6 linked regions of the Rattus norvegicus genome follow. The protein of the gene in region 1 interacts with the protein of each later gene in a pairwise test. Links are inferred from orthologs where the notes say so. Each region holds a gene or a part of one and is shown in the gene's direction. Other genes may lie near its edges. The genes, in order: Pnma5, Prkaa1, Rad23b, Ccnc, Zmynd19 and Cstpp1.

The links.
Region 2: the proteins of Pnma5 (region 1) and Prkaa1 interact in binary tests that used the Homo sapiens proteins (3 or more experiments, as listed by UniProt). The two-hybrid records come from large-scale screens. The link is inferred for Rattus norvegicus from reciprocal best matches to the Homo sapiens genes PNMA5 and PRKAA1.
Region 3: the proteins of Pnma5 (region 1) and Rad23b interact in binary tests that used the Homo sapiens proteins (3 or more experiments, as listed by UniProt). The two-hybrid records come from large-scale screens. The link is inferred for Rattus norvegicus from reciprocal best matches to the Homo sapiens genes PNMA5 and RAD23B.
Region 4: the proteins of Pnma5 (region 1) and Ccnc interact in binary tests that used the Homo sapiens proteins (3 or more experiments, as listed by UniProt). The two-hybrid records come from large-scale screens. The link is inferred for Rattus norvegicus from reciprocal best matches to the Homo sapiens genes PNMA5 and CCNC.
Region 5: the proteins of Pnma5 (region 1) and Zmynd19 interact in binary tests that used the Homo sapiens proteins (3 or more experiments, as listed by UniProt). The two-hybrid records come from large-scale screens. The link is inferred for Rattus norvegicus from reciprocal best matches to the Homo sapiens genes PNMA5 and ZMYND19.
Region 6: the proteins of Pnma5 (region 1) and Cstpp1 interact in binary tests that used the Homo sapiens proteins (3 or more experiments, as listed by UniProt). The two-hybrid records come from large-scale screens. The link is inferred for Rattus norvegicus from reciprocal best matches to the Homo sapiens genes PNMA5 and CSTPP1.

What each region holds. Positions count from the first base shown.
Region 1 is NC_086039.1:155,922,631-155,926,310, reverse strand, and holds Pnma5 (paraneoplastic antigen-like protein 5), read left to right. Parts: upstream 1-1,255; coding exon 1,256-2,566; 3' UTR 2,567-3,180; downstream 3,181-3,680.
Region 2 is NC_086020.1:55,998,775-56,001,362, forward strand, and holds part of Prkaa1 (5'-AMP-activated protein kinase catalytic subunit alpha-1), read left to right. Parts: intron 1-2; coding exon 3-129; intron 130-1,437; coding exon 1,438-1,682; 3' UTR 1,683-2,588. UniProt on the Homo sapiens protein: Catalytic subunit of AMP-activated protein kinase (AMPK), an energy sensor protein kinase that plays a key role in regulating cellular energy metabolism.
Region 3 is NC_086023.1:74,902,518-74,906,017, forward strand, and holds part of Rad23b (UV excision repair protein RAD23 homolog B), read left to right. Parts: intron 1-815; coding exon 816-895; intron 896-3,157; coding exon 3,158-3,426; intron 3,427-3,500. UniProt on the Homo sapiens protein: Multiubiquitin chain receptor involved in modulation of proteasomal degradation. Binds to polyubiquitin chains.
Region 4 is NC_086023.1:40,062,275-40,066,482, forward strand, and holds the start of Ccnc (cyclin-C), read left to right. Parts: upstream 1-1,408; 5' UTR 1,409-1,519; coding exon 1,520-1,551; intron 1,552-4,032; coding exon 4,033-4,139; intron 4,140-4,208. UniProt on the Homo sapiens protein: Component of the Mediator complex, a coactivator involved in regulated gene transcription of nearly all RNA polymerase II-dependent genes.
Region 5 is NC_086021.1:28,155,135-28,159,113, forward strand, and holds the start of Zmynd19 (zinc finger MYND domain-containing protein 19), read left to right. Parts: upstream 1-1,179; 5' UTR 1,180-1,364; coding exon 1,365-1,415; intron 1,416-1,517; exon of another isoform or gene 1,518-1,769; intron 1,770-1,877; exon of another isoform or gene 1,878-2,011; intron 2,012-2,730; coding exon 2,731-2,790; intron 2,791-3,624; coding exon 3,625-3,731; intron 3,732-3,979. UniProt on the Homo sapiens protein: May be involved as a regulatory molecule in GPR24/MCH-R1 signaling.
Region 6 is NC_086021.1:97,869,163-97,873,264, reverse strand, and holds the start of Cstpp1 (centriolar satellite-associated tubulin polyglutamylase complex regulator 1), read left to right. Parts: upstream 1-1,302; coding exon 1,303-1,348; intron 1,349-4,102. UniProt on the Homo sapiens protein: Regulator of the tubulin polyglutamylase complex (TPGC) that controls cytoskeletal organization, nuclear shape, and cilium disassembly by balancing microtubule and actin assembly.

The sequences.
Region 1 (3,680 bases):
TCCTTGCAAGGAATTAAAAAAAAAAAAAAAAAAGTCTTACAAAGTAGCTTCCGCTGGCTTACTTTTCAAAACTGACAGATCAGCCTCAGCCTACTTCAAGTGCAGGGATTAAAGATGTGCTCAACCACACCCAGCAAAAGGGGCTGTCTTTAGATTCTTGAGCAGACTCAGAATTGCTACAGCCTGCATGGGCAGGGACATTCAGGACAGACCATATTAAATATTGCTCTGCCTTGCCTTGAACAGATCAGTGGGCAGGAACCAGCATTCCTGCACTGCCTGTCTGCATAGAGCCAGAAGACTGTGAGGATCAAGCACCAGTACCAGGAAAGTCATCATCTCAGCACTTCAGTAGGGTAGGTACTACACAGAAAACAGCGGGGTGAGCATCTATTTTGGGAGTAGCCTTTAACTGTAGCAAAGAGCTGGTTCAACGTGTTTCCTGCCAAGATTCACAGACCGCAGGGTAGGGCCATACCTGGGATGACAGTTGTCTGTTTACTTTCTGGGGTTATTTTTGCTTTTAATTCCAGATTCCATACTATGTAAACCCATACGCTTGATTTATCAGCCCTCCTCAGTCTCTGCCCTATCCTGCTGTCCATACCTGTGGCTAAGATGCTTTATTACTTGGAGGACCATGACAGCACCTGTTGTCCTTCAAAGGCCTTAATCTATTGTAGAAGCCCAGATTTACACTGTTCCTCTGTCCATGCCTACACTTTAGCTTGTCATATGTTCTTTGCACCCAGCACTGTGATCACATCTGCTGAGTTCCAGTCATCTTTCTTACCTGTTGAGCACTTCTTCAGGAGGAGGAGAGTTTTCTATGTGCTGCCAGTCTTGGACCTAATAAGGAATGGGCTAAATCCAATACAGCACTACGTGGGTGGCAGAGTGTTCTCCTGTTCTGTCCTCCACTGGGTCTTTTCCAGTACTCTCAGGTATGCTCTTTGCCTCCTGACATTGGCATTTTCCCTCCAGGTACTTGCAGAATATGGAGTAGCGTCCCTGGACTTTCAAGGAGGTTGCTGCAACTGGAGGTCAGCAGGGTTCAGTGAGGTTCCGGAAACTTTCTGTGATTGCACAAGACTGAATGTCTGGGAGGAGGAAAGGTGATGGGAATCATTAAGTACCACCTTAACTTCATTTGCATTTCAGGTTGTGGAAACCAGGACATCACTGCCTTTCTGTATGGCATTGGTTTAGAATCTTTGAGTGCTAGTGTTAGGTCTGCCCATAGAGGGAGGGAACAATGGCTGTAGCTCTATTAGATGACTGGTGTAAGGGGATGGATCTGGACCCCAGGAAGGCTGTACTCATTGTGGGCATCCCCGTACAGTGCACTGAAGCTGAGATAAAGGATGCTCTGAAAGAAGGCTTACCTCCTTTGTGTGCACACAAGGTGATAGGCAGAATGTTCAGGAGGGAAGATGAAGCTAAGGCAGTCTTAATTGAACTGACTGAAGTTGTCGATTATACTATGATGCCTACTCATATACCAGCAGAGGGTGGGGCCTGGGAAGTGGTTGTCAAACCCCGTAGCCCAGATGATGAGTTTATCAATAAGTTGATCTACTTTCTGAGAGATGAAGGGCGGAGAATGGTAGATGTGGCCAAAGCCCTGGGGTTTAGCACTGTCCCTACAGGGAGAATGGAGCTAAAGAATTTAGACCAAGACAAACCAAAAGGCTTGAAGTCTCTGTGCAGTAATGGCACATGTTACCAAAAACTAAAAGTGTTTTCTGGCAGTCCCTTTCCCGGCCCAGGAGAAGAAAGCTTTGAGACCTGGTTAGAGGAGGTCACTGAGCTGATGCACTTATGGCAGGTGTCTGAGAGTGAGAAGAAGCAGCGCCTTGTGGAGAGTCTGCGTGGCTCTGCCCTGTCAATCATGCAGGCACTGTGGGCTAGCAATGACTCCCTAACTGTGGAGCAGTGTTTGAAAGCCCTAAAGCACATCTTTGGGAATAAAGAGGACTGTAAGGTCTTCCAGTTCAGGTTCCTTCAATCTTCTCAGAAACCTGCAGAGAAGATATCTGATTACTTGCTACGCTTAGAGCCCCTGCTGCAAAAAGCAGTACAGCAGAGCCCATTGTCAACACACAGTGCAGATTCAATTCGTCTCAAGCATATCTTATCTAGGGTCTCCATGACCACTGGCCTTCGGGGCAAACTATCTCTCTTAGATCAGCAAGGGTGCCCACCTACTTTTCTGGAATTAATGAAACTCACTCGAGATGAGGAAGAGTGGGAGACCACTATGGTAGGGAAGGAGCAGAATCAGGCAGAAAAGGAAAACAGGACACGTGAGACAGCAGATCAAGTTGTTACCCAGGAGGAGTACTTTAGGGAGATCAGCACCCAGACCATAGGAGAGGAGATCACATCAGTGAAACGGAGGCGACTGCTATGGAGACAGAGTACTGGAGAAGAGGAACATATGAGGGAATCAGGTTTCTGGGCTGAAAATGAATCAGATGAGGAGAAACCCTTTGTTACAATACAGGAATCGGGAAACGAGAGAGGGGCTTGGGCTATGAGCCACCCCAACCCCAAGGAAATATAGGCTCAGGACATGCAGGAATTCCTTCCTCTGGCAGGCAACAGAGATACTGTGACAAAATCATGGGGCAGCCCAGGCAAAGAGCAGGGGACATGGGTGTTGCAGAAGAGCAGCGGGGCCAGGGTAAAGCCCCCAACTTCTTACTACTTAGAAATGATTACAACAAGCAAGGGCAAGTTCCATGCAGCTCAGTGACAACCAAATGCCAGGCCCACAGGGAGTGTCAGAGACAGAACTGGGGAGCTAATATGATAAGCAGACTACAGGGTCATCCAGACTGTAGTTGGCATACTAGTGGGTCACAAGATGGTGACGCTGGGTGCTCTGAGCTAAGGATGCCCACCAGCACTGAAGCAGCACAGGGCATAAAGGAGCCCGCCACGGGGTTGTCTTGGGCAGAGGACACCAGTGCCTGGGAGCAAGTACAGCTAGGGAGGGAGGGAGTACCCAGGAGAGGAGGCCGCAGGATCCAGCCTGTCTTCAGGATCATCTACACTGCTCTAGGGGAGCCCCATGAGGGCAGCACCCTTGAGTCCTTCCGTGAGTGAACTCCCCCCACCCCCGTGAAACCCCCAATCTCCAGACCCACCAAAGGATGGGGGGATGGGGGCTAGGCAGTGCCAACGCAGGGCAGTTTCCCTCTTGGCACCTGACAGGACACCAGTGCCTGAGAAGAGCCCCAGGCTGGGGCACATGGCACCATAGGGTTAATGCCCTCAGCTGGCCTGAGAGCCTGGGAGTGTGCAGGGCAGATTTTGTGCGAACAAACAGGAGATGGAAGAACATCAGGAGGAGGACTCTGTGTGTGTCGGGGTTGGGCTTGGGGGGGGGGGGGCGTAGTTTGTTCTTCTCCCTTTTGTCCAGGGCTGCTGGAGAATTCCAGAGAGCAAGCAGGGAGAGCCAGTGAATTCAACTCTGCCAAGGCTGGCCCCAAACCCTGCCGAGCTGAGGGGTGGTCTGGCGGCATTACCAGAGCGCCATCCTCCATCTGCCATCCATACCAAACGCGTGGACGTTCCAGAAGAGGCCATCTCGAGGGTTCTGCCTACTGCCTGGCTCTCCCAATACGGACGCCCCTTCCCCTTCCCATTACTGTCCAGAGGCTGTACCCCCTGCT
Region 2 (2,588 bases), on another chromosome or scaffold:
AGGTTGTAAACCCCTATTATTTGCGTGTGCGAAGGAAGAACCCTGTGACAAGCACATTTTCCAAAATGAGTCTACAGCTATACCAAGTGGATAGTAGGACTTACTTATTGGATTTCCGAAGTATTGATGGTATGTACACGTAAAACCATGGAGGTGATGTGTTTGGCCTGGTTACCTAATTTGGTTTATAGTCTTTGTTTTTTGTTTTTGTTTTTGTTTTTTTAATAAAAACTAAGCATGCAAAGTAGTAAGCTTCACTACGGCACTTTCTTCTCTTCCTCTCTTTCTATCTTTAGTCTCTCCCTCCCTTTGTTTGTATCTTGGAGGGGCTACAGAGGTCAATGTCAGGTGTCTCCCTTCTTCACCTTCCTTCTCACTTTGGAGACAAGGTCTCTCTGCAAACAGGAGGTTGCCCTTTAGGATACACTTACTGGCCAGCAAGCTCCAGGGTTCCTTTCATTTCCGACTTCCGGTGTTGACATTATGGGTATGCCCTTACTGGTCTGATGTTGACATGGGTCTGGGGATCAGCATCAGGCAGGGTCTGTATGCTGTGCGGCAGTCTCTCTATCTACTGAGCCTTCTCCCCGGCCCCCAGTCTGCACTATCATACCTGTCCTCTGTCCTCACCGCCCTAATTCAGCAGGAAATGTGACTTCCTATGTCCTGCAAGAGGGATATTTGTGAAACTTGTCATTCCTGCTCCATGTAGTATATGCTTTATAGATTATTATCTTGGGGCAAGGGATTTAGTTCAGTACTGAAGTTCTTGCCTCACTGGCTTCAGTCACCATCACCATTTTCCCCAAGGTAGAAAATGACTATTGTTCTGTAAAATCTTTAAAAGTATATAGGTTTGTTTTTCTCTTCTGCTCTAAGTGACATTTGAGAGAGTGCAGGGTAAGAGCACTGACCTGAGTAGGAAGGGTGAAGCGCTTGAGTGGCGGGAGCCTGAGTTGTGGGAGCTCACTGCCCACTTGGCTACTTGGGCAAACCCCTCGTTTCCCAGGCTGCTTTATTTCAGGAAAACGATTCCTGGGTGAGATTAAGTTCCAAGACACCTTCCATATTGCAAGTGATCGATTTTGTATCTTTTGTTTTGTTTTGCTTTTTAGACAGGGTTTCTTTGTATAGTCCTGGCTGTCCTGGAACTTACTCCATAGACCAGGCTGGCCTCCAACCCACAGAGTTACCTCTGCCTCCTGAGCAATGGGATTAAAGGCATGCTTGCCACTGTCCAGTGAGTCTGTGAGATATTTATTAGAACCCGTGTTATTAGTTTACTGGTTCTTAGTCAGTGTCAAAGTCAAGAGCACTCTATGATACACCCTGTGTTGACCGGCCATTGCTTGGAGAGCTGGTTAGTAGTCTCACTCAGGTGCTGATTAAACACTTGAGGGAGAAACATAATAAAATGTTGAAATTCTTTTCACCCAGATGAGATTACAGAAGCCAAATCAGGGACTGCTACTCCACAGAGATCGGGATCCATCAGCAACTATCGATCTTGCCAAAGGAGCGACTCCGACGCCGAGGCTCAAGGAAAGCCCTCAGAAGTCTCTCTTACCTCATCCGTGACCTCCCTCGACTCCTCTCCTGTTGACGTAGCTCCAAGACCAGGAAGTCACACGATAGAATTTTTTGAAATGTGTGCAAATCTAATTAAAATTCTTGCACAGTAAACCTAAAACTTTGCTTATTTCTTTGATGCAATAAGCATGCTTACTAAATAATAGCCAAATACTTCCACTTACCGAGTTATATGTGTGTGTATATATAACTAAGGACTGGCCTTCTGCAATGCAGCTTGCACAGGGCCTGGAAAATGATCGATTGTTTAAGCCTAATGTGCAGAAAGGAATCAGGATCATTCTGTTAGCCCTTATTCAGTAGGCACACATCGCATAGTAACACACAGTGGACTATAGGCCTCAGGCTCACTCGATTTTTGGCCATTTGAATTTGCTGTAACAGGTCTCTGTTGACCATAAATTTACCATAAAGCCTTTACATATCAGTACATGTTGATGTGTTTTATATTAGCTTCATGAATTTATTGAGTGAGTTTGCCTAGAATCCCCACAGACCTTCCTAGATGATACAAGACCTAGGCGATGCTGTTTTCTGGGCTCCTTAACTTTCGAAATAGTTACTGTTTCCCATTTTGGGTAACATTATGAACTATTTCCATATTCCTCTTAAAATACTATTTTTATGTAGCAAGTCATTTCAGATAACAGTCTAATTTAAAATTTTTCTTTGGCTTGTAAGCCCCCAACCCACCAGAATTTATATGTTCAGACCCTCCGAGCCCTGAACTTGCTTTTACAGTTTCCCCCTTAAACGTTTTGTGTATGAAGTGCTGCTTTGGATCCAAGAGCCGAGTTGCTCACACTGTACCGAATCATGTTGCTTCTGTCAGTGCACAGACATGCTATCATGTCAGCCAGTATTGAATGTCATTTGATTGTGTATTTTTTTAAGTCAATCCAGCGCATAGAACGGACATTGTTTAAAAGCTCTGAATGCTGGGATTGGGTTTTTAACCCCTGATTTTATTCTGAACAATTTCTAAAGAAAGAAAAGTT
Region 3 (3,500 bases), on another chromosome or scaffold:
CTTTTCTTTTCTTTTTTTTTTTTTTTTTTTTCCGGAGCTGGGGACCGAACCCAGGGCCTTGGGCTTGCTAGGCAAGCGCTCTACCGCTGAGCTAAATCCCCAACCCCAATCTTCCCCTTTCTTGTGTGTTGTGCTATTTCTCTGAAAGGTTTTGTTTGCTCACTTGGCCTGTTTTGTATATACGTATTTTGTTTTTACGATGTTGGAACAACTGCTTCATCACATGTTTGGTATTTCAGAATAAGAAGTTATTCATTCCTTCTTTCAGGAAAAAAAAACTTATTTCCCAAAGGGTGACTAGGCAATTGAAATGTTTACTTTGGGGCTGGAGAGATGATTCAGTGGCTAAGAGCACTGACTACTCTTCCAGAGGTTGAGTTTAATTCCCAGCAACTACATGGTGGCTCACAACCATCTGTAATGGGATCTGATGCCCTCTTTTGGTGTGTCTGAAGATAGCTACAGTGTATTTATACATAATAAATAAATAAATCTTTTTAACAAAGAAATGTTTAATTTCCTTTGTCTTTAATATCTCTTTTCAGGACTTCAAATTTCTTTGTCTAGTAAATCTTAGAGTTAGTTAATAAATTAAAAACAAATCAATTTGTGTTTTATATACTAGAGATGTTAGACATCTTGTAAGACACTTGTGCTTTTAAAGTAGTACACGTCTGTTTATATTTACCTCACGTGGTTGTTAAAGTTTTCTTTAGGAGTTTTACTTGGTAGAAATGGTTACCACTAAAAAGAGTAGTTTCTTTATAAGAAGAAGCTTGATATGTCTTTAACTTTTTTTCTCCCTGAATTATTAGGCAAAATCCTCAGTGATGATACTGCTCTCAAAGAATATAAAATTGATGAGAAAAACTTTGTGGTGGTTATGGTGACAAAGGTAAGTTTCGTGCTACTTATGTATTTTTATGCTTATAAATCATCTCAAAAGCGGTGACCAAGTCCACATGGACACACACAGTTCATGCATTTCTACACCCTGCACAGCATATGTAACAAAGAGCACGGTGTGCTTACCTGCTTTCCAAATGTAGGCAAGTTTCCCTCAGCCCCTTAGAAAAGTAACATTAGATATTTGTAGCCATAAAGTTGTGTTTATGTAAGATAAAACAAAGTATTATATTTTTAAAAGGGCATTTCTCCCTTGACACCCCTTAAGAGTTTCTTACTTTTCCTTTATCTGTGTTTACTGCTTAAAAAGAGGTGCCAGAATAGTTAAGTTACCATGTGATCATCTAAAAATAGCAATCAAATTAAATGTCTTTCTTTGTATAGCTTTTAATGTGTAGCCTTTCAGGTACTAGATAAGGTATGTGTTAGACCTAACAAGCTCAGGGCCAAAGAAAGAAAGAATGCAAGTTCAGTTTTCAATCAAGAGATAAGAGTTTTATAAAATAAAAAAGGAAAAGTCAACTAAAAAAATGGAATGATTTTTGGAGTAATTCTTTTTTTTTTTTTTTTTCCTGGAGCTGAGGACTGAACCCAGGGCTTTGCACTTGCTAGGCAAATGCTCTACCACTGAGCTAAGTCCCCAACCCTGGAGTAATTCTTAAGAATTGCTTTATGGTTTATGATATTGAACTACATTAAATATATTGGGTAATTTTTTGAAAATAAACTCTTTTCTAAAGTACAGCTTGAGAACTGAAGAAAAGCTAAGCCAGTAAAGTAAAGCTTACCTTACAAGCCTCCTAAGAACTGAGTTCTGTCTCTCCAGTACATCATTAAATGCATGCTCAGATCCACTGCTAGAAGCTCAGTACTGGGAGGCATACAGGGTCAGCCCTGGGGCTTACTGGCCTTCTAGTCTAGCCTACTTGGTGAGCTCTAGGCCAACGAGAGATTTTCTTTTAAAGATGGATGGCCCTTGAGAGTTGACATCTGGCCCTGCCTGCACACACTTACAGATCAGAACTTCAGCATTGATTCCTTAAAGAGACTGCTTTGTATATGTGCTTACAAATGGATAATCTGGGGAAGAGCAGTGTATTAGTCATCTTTGCTGTAATAAAATATCCAAGGTAAAAGTGTAAAGCAGAAAAGGGTTTATTATCAGGCCACAGTTGTGGAGACTGGAAGTCCGAACAGCATGGTGAAGACTGCACAAGGACACCTAGTAGCATGTTGTCATTGTGGTGATGCTTGGATTTCTATCAGTGTGTAGGGGTTGTTTGTTTGTTTTTTGGTCCTTATAAAGCCACTGGAATTATTTATGGAGTCTCTGCTGTAATGTAATCTAAAAGGCCCTACCTTTAATAGCACAGTCAGATGTAATTTCTGCCTTCCTCATACTGGTTTGTCATAAAACTTTAGGGTTTATGCCAGGTTTGGTGGTACATCATGTCATTAGTCCCAGCACTCACTGAAAACAACAACAAAGACTTTAGGGTTTAAATACCTGAGTTTGGGAGGGACCAAACATGGAAAGCACTCTTGGTAATAATGAAAGCAAGTTTAAGTGGATGGTCAAAGTTACTTTATCAAATTAGTCAGTGGTGGATTAAATGTGAGTTTCCTCCAAAGTCACAGAATAACAATAGCAGTGGGAAATAGTGAAATGGATAATAAAAATCTAGTATAGATAAAAACGGAATATTTTTCAGTTCTAAAGAAAACTGAAATCACAAAATTTTCATAAAAATAGACTTAGAATTAAGTTATGCTGAACTCAGTCTCAGAAAGGAAAAAAGGATGTTCTCCCTCATCAGTGCTAGTCTGTTCTGTATACGTTAGCTGTACACCTTAGCTCATGGAGACGTGTGAGTCCTTACCCGTGTTGCTTTACAGCAGGAGGTTTTCCTCCTAAAATACAGCAGATTGTTGGGCATGTTCATAGACAGTCTACTTCACACCCCAGAACTTACTTTGCGAATGCTTTTATGTGGCAATGTAATCTTTACAGGTACAGTTAAGGTGTATAAGTAAAGACTTCGATGGACTGTCTAATGCTAATTGCACTTGAGAGCTAAGATATTTAAATTTCCATAGGTACTTTGAAGAGTAGTGAATTGCTTTCATTTGCTAATGTTGATCTTTTATCATCCGCTTACAAAATGATGTTCAGTTTACTGGTTATTAGGCTGATTGTGTGGCTGTTGAAGTCCAGTGATACCTTATTTACTTTGTTGTTTGACACATCCAGCCCAAAGCAGTGACATCAGCAGTGCCAGCTACAACCCAGCAATCAAGTTCTCCCAGCACCACTACAGTCAGCTCCTCCCCTGCAGCAGCTGTGGCCCAGGCTCCAGCTCCCACCCCTGCTCTGGCTCCCACTTCCACACCTGCCTCCACGACTCCAGCCTCAACTACAGCATCTTCTGAACCTGCACCTACTGGTGCAACTCAGCCCGAGAAACCTGCAGAAAAGCCAGCACAGACACCAGTGCTTACTAGCCCAGCACCAGCTGACAGGTAAGGACTACGTTTAAGAATTACATCACAAGTAGCCATATTTTTAATTTTTAAGAAACAAGCTGACTACTATG
Region 4 (4,208 bases), on another chromosome or scaffold:
GAGGGACTCTCAGTCCAATCTCTGGGCTGGAGAGTTAAGGACAGGAGTCAGGGCACACCAGCCAGGATGATCCCAAAACTGAGGCTGAAATTCTCACCTAGTCTAGGCTTGCCGGAAACAATGTAGCTGTACTGGCTGGTTTTGTGTGTCAACTTGACACAAGCTGAAGTTATCACAGAGAAAGGAGCCTCCCTTGAGGAAATGCCTCCATGAGATCCACCTGTAAGGCATTTTCTCAATTAGTGATCAAGGGGTGGGGGAGGACCCAGCCCCTTGTAGAACCCTGGCTGATAGTCTTGGGTTCTATGAAAGAGCAAGCTGAGCAAACCAGGGGAAGCAAGCCCGTAAATAGCGTCCCTCTATGGCCTCTGCATCAACTCCTGCTTCCTGACCTGCTTGAGTTCCAGTCCCGACTTTCTTTGGTGATGAACAGCAATGTGGAAAGTATAAGCTGAATAAACCCTTTCCTCCCCAACTTGCTTTTTGGTCATGATGTTTTATGCAGGAACAGAAACACTGACTAAGATAGTAGCTGAGGGTGTGAATACTCTTACCTTGCAGGTGTATATAGTGCTGAGTATCACCCAGAGCTTCTGGGGCACTTTACCGATTGTGCTTTACCCCTTCCCCCTCATCCCATAGACAGGGTCTCAGCAGGAAGCAAGGACTGGCCGGAAACTCATAATGTTCCAGTCTCAGCCACCAAAGTACAGTACTAAATGCAATGTTACAATGATAACAGAAACATTTAAGTATTATTTCATTTTATAAAATCAAATTATTGCATTTCTGCAGCATATCAATTTGCTGAGCGTAAGTGTAGCTAGATTATGTTCATATGCTCATGTTTTTAGATATACAAGTAGCAGGCTCTAACATAAAAAAGATTGCTACTCTAAAAAGGCTACACTTGTCACACTAAAATTCGCTAACTCGTTAGACTTAACACCAACAAGAACTTCACTAAGAGTACTTAGATCTTAAAGCCAAAATGCCTTTCATTTATTTCTTCTTTCAATCCTAGGAAAAGAGCAGTTATATAATGCCATGCTTTCTTTCAACGCCGGTGTGCTATTTTGGAAGGCCTTCAAGGTGGATTAACAAGATCCCTAAATGGACCCAAAAGAAAACCGCACTAAACCAGAAAACCATACTGAGGATGCTCTAGAAATTAACTAGCAGGAAACCTCCTCAGAGCCTCTCACCACCACGAGCCTCTGTCCGTGTTTACTCAACTTCCGGGGACCCGCCTCAACACGCCCATTGGCAGTCTGGTGTTTGCTTGCTTCCTCCGCTACTAGGGCGGGCCGGAACTTTTGTCGGCCGGAACCGGTGTATGCTGCTCAGTGTTGTCGGCCGGCGTCAAGGCGACGGTGTTGTTCTCTTCCTCTGACTGCGGTTGCTGTTCAGTTCAATCCAGCCGGTCTGGTTGAGTAACACAGTCCAGGGACTGTGTCTATGGTTGCTCCGCGGGCCGCTTTGCCGGCTGGTGCTTTTGTATCAGGGCAAGCAGTATTCCATGGCAGGGAACTTCTGGCAGAGCTCCCACTAGTAAGTGAGCTTCCATTTTCTCGCGTGGGACCGGGTCTGGGGCACGGGAGGATTGGGCCTGCTATTCCCTCGGGACTTCCATCCTGGCTGCTGGGGGTGAGTCCCCACCCCCACCTCCCCCGTAGAAGCCGGGGGTCCGAAAAGCAGCACCATTTTGCGGATTTCCCCTCTTCGCCCAGCGGGATTTCGGGGGCTGAGGGGAAGTGAACTCGAAGGATAGGTAAGGGGTCCGGTCTCCGGGAAGGGAGACAGAGGCGGTTTCATTTAAAATTTGGGGGTTTGGTTGGTGGGATGATGTGGGCAAGGGGAAGTGACCCATTGTAGCTCTGTGAGATCGCCTGTTTCGGACAGACATGGTTTGCTTTATTTACTTAGAGGAGAGGAGTGAGTCGTGCTTGTTTCTACCTTCTGCTTCGTGGCTCAGTTTTATGCCTAGATTGGTTAGACGCGCGCGCGCGCGCGCACACACACACACACACACACACACACACACACACACACACCCTCACCTTTATCCCCCCACCCTCACCTTTATCCGCCACCCCCGGAGGCAGGGTTTCCCTGGGTTAAGCGGTGGCTGTTCTAGAACTCACGCTATAAGCCAGGTTGGACTCGAGTTTACTGAGACCCGCCTGCCTCTGCCTCTGAGTGCTGTAATTAAAGATATGAGCCACTTACTGGCTCCTAGGTTGACTTTTATGCCCCTAGAATTTGAGAGCACAGGGGCTCTTAAAATATATCTATTTCTTTTTTTTTTTTTTTTCCGGAGCTGAGGACCGAACCCAGGGCCGTGCGCTTGCTAGGCAAGCAGTCTACCACTGAGCTAAATCCCCAACCCCGAATATATCTATTTTCATTCATTAGCCGGTGTCTTATATTTTGCTTTAAAGGTGTGTATTTTCCAGATTTTTGTCCTCTTCCTTTAACCATTTAAATGACTAAATTTTAGTGTCTTTCGGTGACCATATGACCATAGAAGGGCTAAAGTAATGTTAAAGACATTTGTCTCTAAATACATTTGGTTAAACATACAGGACCCGTTGTGCGATTGGGCTAAGCATTGAGCAGGCTTTCCATTAAGTACATTAAAAACTGAGCAGGATTGAATTTTAGTCTGAAGACAACAACAAATTCTATGAATTGGGTTGGATGTTTTTTCCTCTTTGCCTGAGAACAAAGAAGAAGGAGAAAAGGAGAAGGAGAAGGAGGAGAAGAAGAAAGGAAACTGAATTTGGAGACTTGTTTCTGGAAAGCATGTCTTCTCTTGCTACAAAGTGTTTCTGGGATGATGAAATGCTAGTGAAGGGTTACTGTGGGATTTTACTCACTGAGGTGTTTCAGTTAAAAAAAAAAATGAAATACAGAAGGGGATGACCCAAAAAGGTGGTATTAAGCTTGGACCTGTACTTAATCTTGGTACTCAGATAATGCCTTGATTGTCTGCCTCAGTGATGTAATCCTAAAACAGGCAGTAGCAAGTCTTTGCATATAGCAAGAGTTTATCTTTGAGAATGGGCCTTATTCTAGAGGGTCTGAGAACCTGTGTGCTGGTGCTTTGTCCACAGGACACTATGAAGGAAATGGAGAAAAAGAGGTAGAGAATCTTTGAAACCATCAAGAGTTTCTTTAGCTTCAAGTTTCCCTGTTTCTTCATCAAATGGTCTTGCTGAGGCTGCCAGTGAACTGCTGAAAAGCTAGAGAAATCTGATGAATAACTTACCTGAGAGTTTAGAATGGCATCCACAGCATCCTTGTTTATTGACCAGACAGAATGGGAATCAAACTGATTGGCATAGAATTATTTGAAGATAGTCAGCAAAGCAGTCACAAATAGCATCCAAAAACCAAAGGGATTCCATTGGTCCAACAAAACTGAGAAACATTGGGGTGATAGTGAAAACACTGATTGGAAAAGATTAAATTAGAAAAATGTAAAATTTGCTCCAAGGCTGAATTTACTTGAAATGGGTGAGCATGTATTGAAGAACTCAAGTATTTCATTGTTGAACATAATTTACTCAGTATTTTAGAGACCCGTTTTGAAGAGTTAATTAAGTTTCAGAAGTAGACTGGCGCTCTGTCTAGCCAGACACTGTCCTTTATCAATGTTCTAAAGATATACCCAAAACAAAAAAAGCTGGATGCAGTGCTGCATGAAGCTTGGTGGTGATGGGATCTCTGCCAGACTGAGGCTAGTCGGCTCTACAGAAGGAGTTCCAGGATAACCAGGGCTAAACAGAAAGAAAGAGAGGGGGGAGAAGGGAAGGAGGGAAGGAAAAGAGATATACCACTTAGAATATGACCAGCTTATTAAATCTTAGTGTTTTAGGTGCTTTTGATTGTTGGCCTTTTAAAATTAGTTTATTCACTTTACATCCCAATATCAGCCCTCTCTTCTCCCAGTACCCCAGCTCAAGCAACCCCCCCCACCTCCACTTGTTGGCTTTTTATACCACTTTTTGACATCTTTACTTTTTCTAGTTTGCAGTGGATTTTGGATAAACAAGATCTGTTGAAAGAGCGCCAGAAGGACCTAAAGTTTCTCTCAGAAGAGGAGTATTGGAAATTACAAATATTTTTTACAAATGGTAAACTTTTACATTGGTTGAAGTAGTATAGTATAGCTGGTCACTATTTTGTATGGTAATTTCAATGAA
Region 5 (3,979 bases), on another chromosome or scaffold:
TCCTCATACCCACTCATCAGCTTAAGGGTACTCAATAGGGTATGAGGTATGGCCAATCTCCTCTACAAGGGCAGCCTCTGGGATCTAACAGGTGTATCCTGGGTCTCCTTTCGTCTTTTTTTTTTTTTTTTTTTTTTTCCGGGGCTGGGGACCCAGGGCCTTGTGGTTGCTAGACAAGCGCCCTACCGCTGAGCCAAATCCCCAACCCCCTGGGTCTCCTTTCAAGTTATGTGGGATGTGTTGAATTACTATTTTGGAGGAATATGCAAGAACAAATTGTTTTATTACCAGGGAGCGCACTTTGCATCATCCTAAGCATTCCACCTCTTATTAAAAAGTTCTCTTATCCACAAGTCTGAAGAGGCTAACGGAACAGGTGCGGTTTGAGCAGAAAAGCACCTGGGAGTAATGTTAAGCACCAAGGGCTGAGAGGAGATCTAGCTTTACTCGACAATCCTTTGCTCCCGGTAATTCCAAACTGGAACAAAGAGAGGTAGAAACATTTGCAGATCCTCTGATGCCTGAGGTCACCTTGAAGCAGGTGGAGTCTAGCCCTGGGCTCGAACTCTAGGCCTTATCAGCTTTGTCAGGATTCCAGACTACCAGATCTCCCTTTTCCGGGGACAGATACCCGCCCTAGCCTCCCGCTCCTTCCCGAAGGTTTTATCCTTTCTAGGAGACCTAAGGCGCTTGGGTTCCAGGAAGCATCGAGTAGGTACTCGCCGCTGCCTCGCAGGATGATTCTGGAGACCTGGACGACCCATACAGCATCCTGCTAGCCGGTAACCACCAGGTAACGACAGACGTTCTACGCCGTGCACAACTTAGAGACCCGAACGCAAGCAGCTATTGTCAGGAAGAAGCCACGACCTACTGCGCTCACTCACGCGCCCCAGCCGCGGCCGCAGCGCGCACAAAGCTTCCCGCGAAATTGACGTTGCGCCGGCCGCCGCGCAGGCGCCGCCCCCGGCTCGCCCCTCCCCCGCACTTGGGTCTTTTTCATTGCGCCTGCGCCTGTTTCCTATTTTCATTGGTTATTTGGCCGCGGCGCGCCACGACCGGCGAAGGGCGCGTCTCGTGATTGGTCGGCCGCCGCCGGTGGGGGGTGTGTCCCGGGTGCGCCCCGCCCTCTGCTCCGCTCGCTGGGGTGCGCGCGGCGGTGGCGGCGGCGCGTGGCAGGTCCGGCGGGCGCGAGGCGGCGGCGGTGGCCCGATCCTGGCCCAGCCTCGTCCGCCCGTGGCCCGCCCGGCCTGACCCCGGCCCCGGCCTGACCCGGAGTGCCGCGGCCTCGCTACGGCCCGACCCGGTCCGGTCCGGAGCCTCCCGAGGGAGCGGCTCCGCCTGCCCAGAGCGCAGGCCCGGCCATGACCGACTTTAAATTGGGCATCGTGCGGCTCGGCCGGGTGGCCGGGAAGGTGAGCGGTGTGGAGCGGCGGCGAGGCCTGCGCGGGCTGGGGCACCAGGGCGAGCAGCTGCGCGGGCCTGCATGGTCCGGGCGCCGCCTTCCTCGCGGGAGTCTTCCCCGCGGCCGGGGGCGCGCCCCTCGGCCTCAGGACTCGTGTGGGACTGGCTGGTGCGGAACAGTTGCCGGGGTTCATCCTCTCCCTCCTCGGGCACCTGCGGCGGCTCCGGCGGCCGGGCTGCACCTGCGACCGCACGCTTTAAACGCGGCGGCCTCCCGCCGTGACGCTCTTGGCCCGAAGCTCTGAGGCGAGCGGAGCAGCCGGTCCGCGGTAGCCCTCGGCGGCGCGTTTTAACGTTGACCAAAGGTTGGCCACGTTCGGTCACTCGAGTCACAGGCTTTCCTAGAGCACAGACGAAGAGCCAGGGCCCTGATCTTGGTAGGCTTTAAGGCTCTCAGATGCTCCTCGCCTGGGCCACCACCCACCACATGTTGAAGCTGGGCTTCGTGTCATGGTGCTGTTCAGGAACTGTGGACCTTAAGTCTGTTCCTTCCACCAGTGGCGGCGGCTGCTAGTGGGAGAGAGGAGCAGACAGAAAGTAGAGGCAGGTAACTGAGATCCTAGAAAGAGCTTCCAGGAAAGTAAAAGCAACCTGTGTTGAGCTTAGGAAAGAACTACTGGAACTTTCTAACTGGGGAGGGGTGGGAGACTTTTACTCCGCAATTATTTGCAGGAGTTTGGGCCATTAAAGCTTTTATTAGGAATATTTGAGACCAGGTGAAGAAGGGCTATCCAGTTAGCACATGGAATAACTATCCATCTACTGAACAAACATCACTTGGAACCTGATGTTCTTAGCCCCGTTCCCTTCCTCTACTCCACTAGACATGTTTGAGTTTCCGGGTGCATTAAAAGCTCAGTGCCACTTGTTAGGGACCGTCTATCAGGTGTGGATGGGCTCTGAAGCCTAATTACCCACACTGGTACATGTGGTCATGTTTTGCTTTTAACATACTTGAAAGGATTTTTCTTTTCTTTTTTGAGGAAGAATCTCACTCTATGGTCCTGGTTGTTTAGGAACTCACAGGAGGGTTCTGTCTGCCAGTACTTTCGAGTGTTGGGATTAAAGGTGTGTACCACCATGCCCAGTTTGAACTGCACTTTGATTGCAGGCTGTGCCAAATGACTCTGAGCAAGGCCCCACTTAAGATGTGGTTTCTTTCTGTCTCATTGGACAGTATTACAGATTCCTGCTGCTGCAAGTTATGCTGTTACTGTTTCTTAGGTGGGTCTCAGATGTAATTTTTGAAACATGGTTTATTTGCAGACCAAATACACGCTGATAGATGAGCAGGACATACCACTGGTGGAGAGCTACTCCTTTGAGGTGAGCATTACTGTTTGGTGCCCAGGAGGAATGAGAAATGAATTTCCTTCCTTGTTCTGGGAGAACAAGAGGATACCACTGATATGATATTTAGCTCCAAAGCAGGTTGTGACAACCTGGACACTGCTGGCTAGTAGAGCCCATTGTGACCTCCTTTCCTGAATACTGGTCTTTGAAAACTCCCTGTTTTGTTGTGTTTATGGTTACATGTTTGTTAAACCAAGTGAGCACACACCTTTGCACCCTAACTAGGGAGACCATCTTGCCCTCACTGTTCTTGGTCAAGAACTACCACCTCTCTGGCTGGTGGCCTTTTGGCGAGTGGGGGATGGGGGTAAGGTTTTGTTCTCCCCAAGCCAGCTGTGAATACTCAAATCTCCTTGTCTCCGTTACCTGAGTTCTGAGATTACAGATGTGCACTATCACAGCCAACATGGGCTTTTTCCCCCTCAAGTGTTTTATTCCCTGAGTTTATTTATGTGTATTAATGTTGATCTGAGTATCTGCATGGGTCACAGACGGTTGTGAGCTACCAGGTGGCTGGCTGTAGGGAATCAAGCCCAGGGTCCTCTGAAAGAGCAGCCAATTCTCTTAACTGCTTAGCCATCTCTAGCTCCCCATCGTCTCTTCTGGCCTTTTTTGAGGATAGAAAAAATTTACTTCTTGGTGTCCACAGCATTTTGCAAGTTGTTGGTCAGGGTGTGCTCCCTGTACTTTTGGGGTCCTAGGAGCAGGATATCATCTGTACCTCTGGAGCTTTTCTGAGCTGGATTTGAAGTGTGCTGAGAGGTAAAGGCTTTCCAACAGATGCGCTCTGCTCTGTCCTCTGCCCAGGCTCGGATGGAAGTAGACGCTGATGGAAACGGTGCTAAGATATTTGCATATGCCTTTGACAAAAACCGGGGAAGGGGCTCGGGCAGGCTTCTGCATGAGCTGCTATGGTGAGTATTTTCCAACTGAGAAGTCTCCCCACCTAAGCCCCATGTGAGCTGTGATGTGCACAGTGTGCCTAAAGAGAGCATTCTACTCAGTGGGGTCAGACTCAACCTTATCTTCTCTGAGCCTGGGAGTTTATTTTGTGACCTTTGCCACTAACCCAAAGGGATGACTAATGTACATGTCACTTAAACAGCGAGTGGGACTCGAGACCTGTGGTCCTCTGGGGAGTCAGTCATAGGTTACATCCTTA
Region 6 (4,102 bases), on another chromosome or scaffold:
AGTGGAGTTGGGGATTTAGCTCAGTGCCTAGCAAGCGCAAGACCCTGGGTTCGGTCCCCAGCTCCGGAAAAAAAAAAAAAAGAAAAAAAAAAAAGAAAAGGGAGGAGCAAGTGGCTTTTCCTGTTAGGTTTGGGTGGTGACAATGCTACAGACCTCTTTCCTGTTCTTGCACAAAGGGAGGAGCAAAAAGAAGTATCCAGTTATTTGAAAAGAAAGGAATAGTCTTCCTTCTTCAAAAAGGGCACAGCTGAGGATATGTAATAAATGTTCACGTTCTGATTTATTTCCTTTGAGAAGAGAAGTGTCTCTGTAGGCAAAAGGAAAGCCGCTTGGACAAGATGTCAAATAATACAGTATAGGAGCAGAAGCAGATTCTAATGGCTAAAAGGAATTTGAGAGGAATGGTAATTAACTTACAGAGGACTTTAGTTTTTAAAATTATATTTTACTGGGTGTAGGGGCACACACCTTTAAAACAGTAAAAACTCTGGGATCTGCAGGGGTATATCTCTTAAATTCAAGGCCAGCCTGGTCTACAATCAAGTTCCAAGCCCTCCTGGGCAATACAGCAAGACCCTGTCGAGATATATATTTAGGGCAGGGACATGTGGAGGTCAGAGGACAACTTGCAGGAGTTGATATTCTGTTTTCACAATATGGGGTCCCTTGGATTGTACTCAGTGGCCTTTAGTGAGTACCTCTATGTGTCTAACTAACCCTGTTAGAGGCTAAAGACATGTCCCTGATCTCAAGAAGCTTCCAAGATACAAAGAACATTTTGTACAAACTTTGTACAAAATTAATAATAGATAATGAGATCTCAGTGTTATGTGAGGTCATACATGATAATTATTATTAGGATAGATAGAAACTATGACTCCAGAAATTGCGGATATGAGCCGCTGGTAGTAATTCTTCCGCATCACAAAATATGACATATTCAGAGGATTCACTTCACAGCTTCTAAAACCAAGTCCCAAAAATAGTAGGGGGGAGGGGATGGGGGCTTATGGAAAGGAAACCGGGAAAGGGAATAACATTTGAAATGTAAATAAAGAAATATATCTAAAAAATTTTTCTAAAAAATTTTTTTAGAAAAAAAATAGTAGTTAAAGAAAAACACTCAAGTGACTGCTTCCGGAACTTATGTGATAGGCTCCACGTTGCCAGTCGGAGACTGTTTACGTGACACCCTTTCAGCCTTCTAGTTCTCTGGCCGCATGGTGCCATGGCAACAGAGACAGGCTGTAACCTGGGTTCCGGAAGAAGAAAGCTGGAGCGTGGAAACTACCCGGTCAAAGGATGCTGAGTCCCGAGCGCCTAGCTCTACCGGACTACGAGTATCTGGGTAGGGGCCTTCTTTCAGCTTCGGGAAATGAGTGATGAGTTAGGGGAAGGAGTGGGGAGGAGACAGGGGCGGAGCCTGAATGGTAGCGGGTCTGGATGGGACCGGAGGGACAGAAAGAAGGGGTCCTAGGGCCTGAGCCTGTAATGAATGTAGGACCAAATCGGGATGAAAAATAACATTTATGGAGTAAAGAATGGCTGAATTATATGGACTGGCACTCAGTCAATGAGAATTGCATTCTAAATAACACAATTAAGAATCTGAGGCCTTAAATGAGGCTATTATATTATTGAAGCAAACTTGGCATCTGAAGTGACATCAATCATTTTGTGAATAATAATTTTGCCTTCATAGTGTGCTGTTATTTCAAGCTATTCTTTTTCATTAGGCATTTTGCACGCGATAAGCATTTTGCATGCAGCATTCTTTCTTGGAAGGGACTGCTGTGTTTTCTACTTGACAGATGGAGAAACTAAGGCTAAAGAAACAACTTGCATAAGACCATACGGTTAGATAGTATTAGGATCAGATTTCCCCACTGAAGAACTCGACCTTGCTCTTGAACTAAGGCTATGTGGTAGTAAGGACTGTACTTTGTAAGCTCCCTGCAGTGAGCATGTGAGGCCTTTACTGCACACATTTGTGGATACACTTATATGCACACATACACACTTAAAAGTTCACAGACTTAAACATTTAGAGGAATTTTAAACTTATAGAAGACTGAGCTGATAACAGTTCTTTTTTTTTTTTTTTTACCCCTCTATATCTTCTATCTAGCTTCTATTATTAATTTCTTGTGTTAGTCTGGTACATTTCTTGCAACTGAATATTAGCTCAGTGTGATTACCAACAGCTTATGGTTTACATTAGGGTTCACTCTTTGTGTTGTGTTTTCTGGACTTAGACAAATTCATATTCTCATATATTCCCATTCAGATGTAAAACAATTGTTTCCTTGTCCTAAAAATCCTCTATGCTTCACCCATTCATTCACCCTTTCCGTTTCACTACTGATCTTACTGACTTTTAAAGTTTTGCCTCTTTGAGAATAGTGGGAGCCATTCCGTGTATAAGCTCTTCAGATGGGCTTGTTTCAGTGGGTGTTCAGGTTCCTCCTTGTTGTTTTGTGACTTGATAACTCATTTCTTTACATGGATGAATAACATCTCATTATATGAATGTAGCATACACATTTTTAAAAATAAACTACAACTCTGGATAAATGTTTTATATTTTGAGAATTGATCTCTCTATGTAGCCTTGGTTGGTCTTGAACTCACAGAGATCCTCCTGCCTCTGTCTACCCAGTGCTGGAATCAAAGGAATGAATTACCAGCACCTGGCAGATGGTTAAATTTTCTTAATCATACGAAAAGTTGAGCCAAAATTACTTTTTAAATATAAAGACATTTATCTTGGGGGATGAGAGAGATAGCTTAGCAGTTAAGAGCTCTTGTTACTTTTCCTGTTTACCTGAGTTTGAACTGTGGCACCCACAGCATGCAGCTTAAAGTTTCTGTAACTCTGGGGAACCCAAGGGCTTCTTTTGACCTCTGCATGTGTGTGCATACACACACAGAAGACATGTATATAGAACAAAAGTAGAAATAAAAAGGTAGCAATTTATAGTAAAAAAGATGCTCCCCTCTTTCCCCACCAAGTCTGGCATATTCCACAGAGGTAACTACTATTGCTGGTTTTGTGTACATCCTTCCGGAGTTTATTTTGTACATAAAGGAACATATAGTGCACAGTTTTGTTTGTCTTCATTTAATGTATATCAAGAATAGGGAGCTTTGTCTTTTCTTTTGTTTTATGTTTTTGTTTTTGCTTCTTTGTCTTTTCAGACAGTATTGTAGACTTCAGTCACACCATGTAACTGAAGTTGCTCTGGAATTTCCAATCCTCTTGGTTGCCTTTGCCCCAGGTAGAAACCTCTCAAGTTGTGGGATGGCAGGTGTTACGCCGCCACCCCTAAACTGTCATTTCTTTTAAACCTCACTTTTAGCTACTTAAGTAATTAGTACTTAAAGAGTTTATTTAACCAAGTCCATGTTGATAGATAGTGAATTATTTTTTAACTTTTTATGGTCACTAACTATGCCTCAGTGAATAACCTGCAATTCTGTTCCTTTGCATGCATGCATTTCTACAAGGATAAATTTCACAAAGTGAAGGGCATCGTATTTAACATCGAAACATATGCCACATAGTCTTTCACAGGAGTTTTTGTTTGTTTTCTCTTTGGAGACAGGGTTTCTCTGTGCAGCTCTGGCTCTCCTAGATCTTGCACTGTAGACCCGACTGGCCTTGAAATCACAGAGATCCAACCTGCCTCTGCCTCCCATGTGCCGGGATCAAAGGAATACAGCCCCCATCACCTGGCCACAAAGGTTTCTATCATTTAAATCTGACAGCAGCAATATAAGAAAATGCTTGTTTCTGCGCAATTTTGTAACAAAATAGACCACATTTAAAATTTCTTTAAAAATCTGTTAAGTAACAGCTTAGAGAGTATACTTTATTTGCATTTTTTATTGACAATTTTAAAAAAAGAATTATTTATGTATATGAATACACTGTTACTCTCTTCAGACAGAAGAGGGCATCAGATCCCGTTACAGGTGGTTGTGAGCCACCATGTGGTTGCTTGGAATTGAACTCAGGACCTCTGGAAGAGCAGCCAGTGCTCTTAACTGCTGAGCCATCTCTCCAGCCCCCAAGCAAAGAAATCTTTAGAAAATCAAGCTC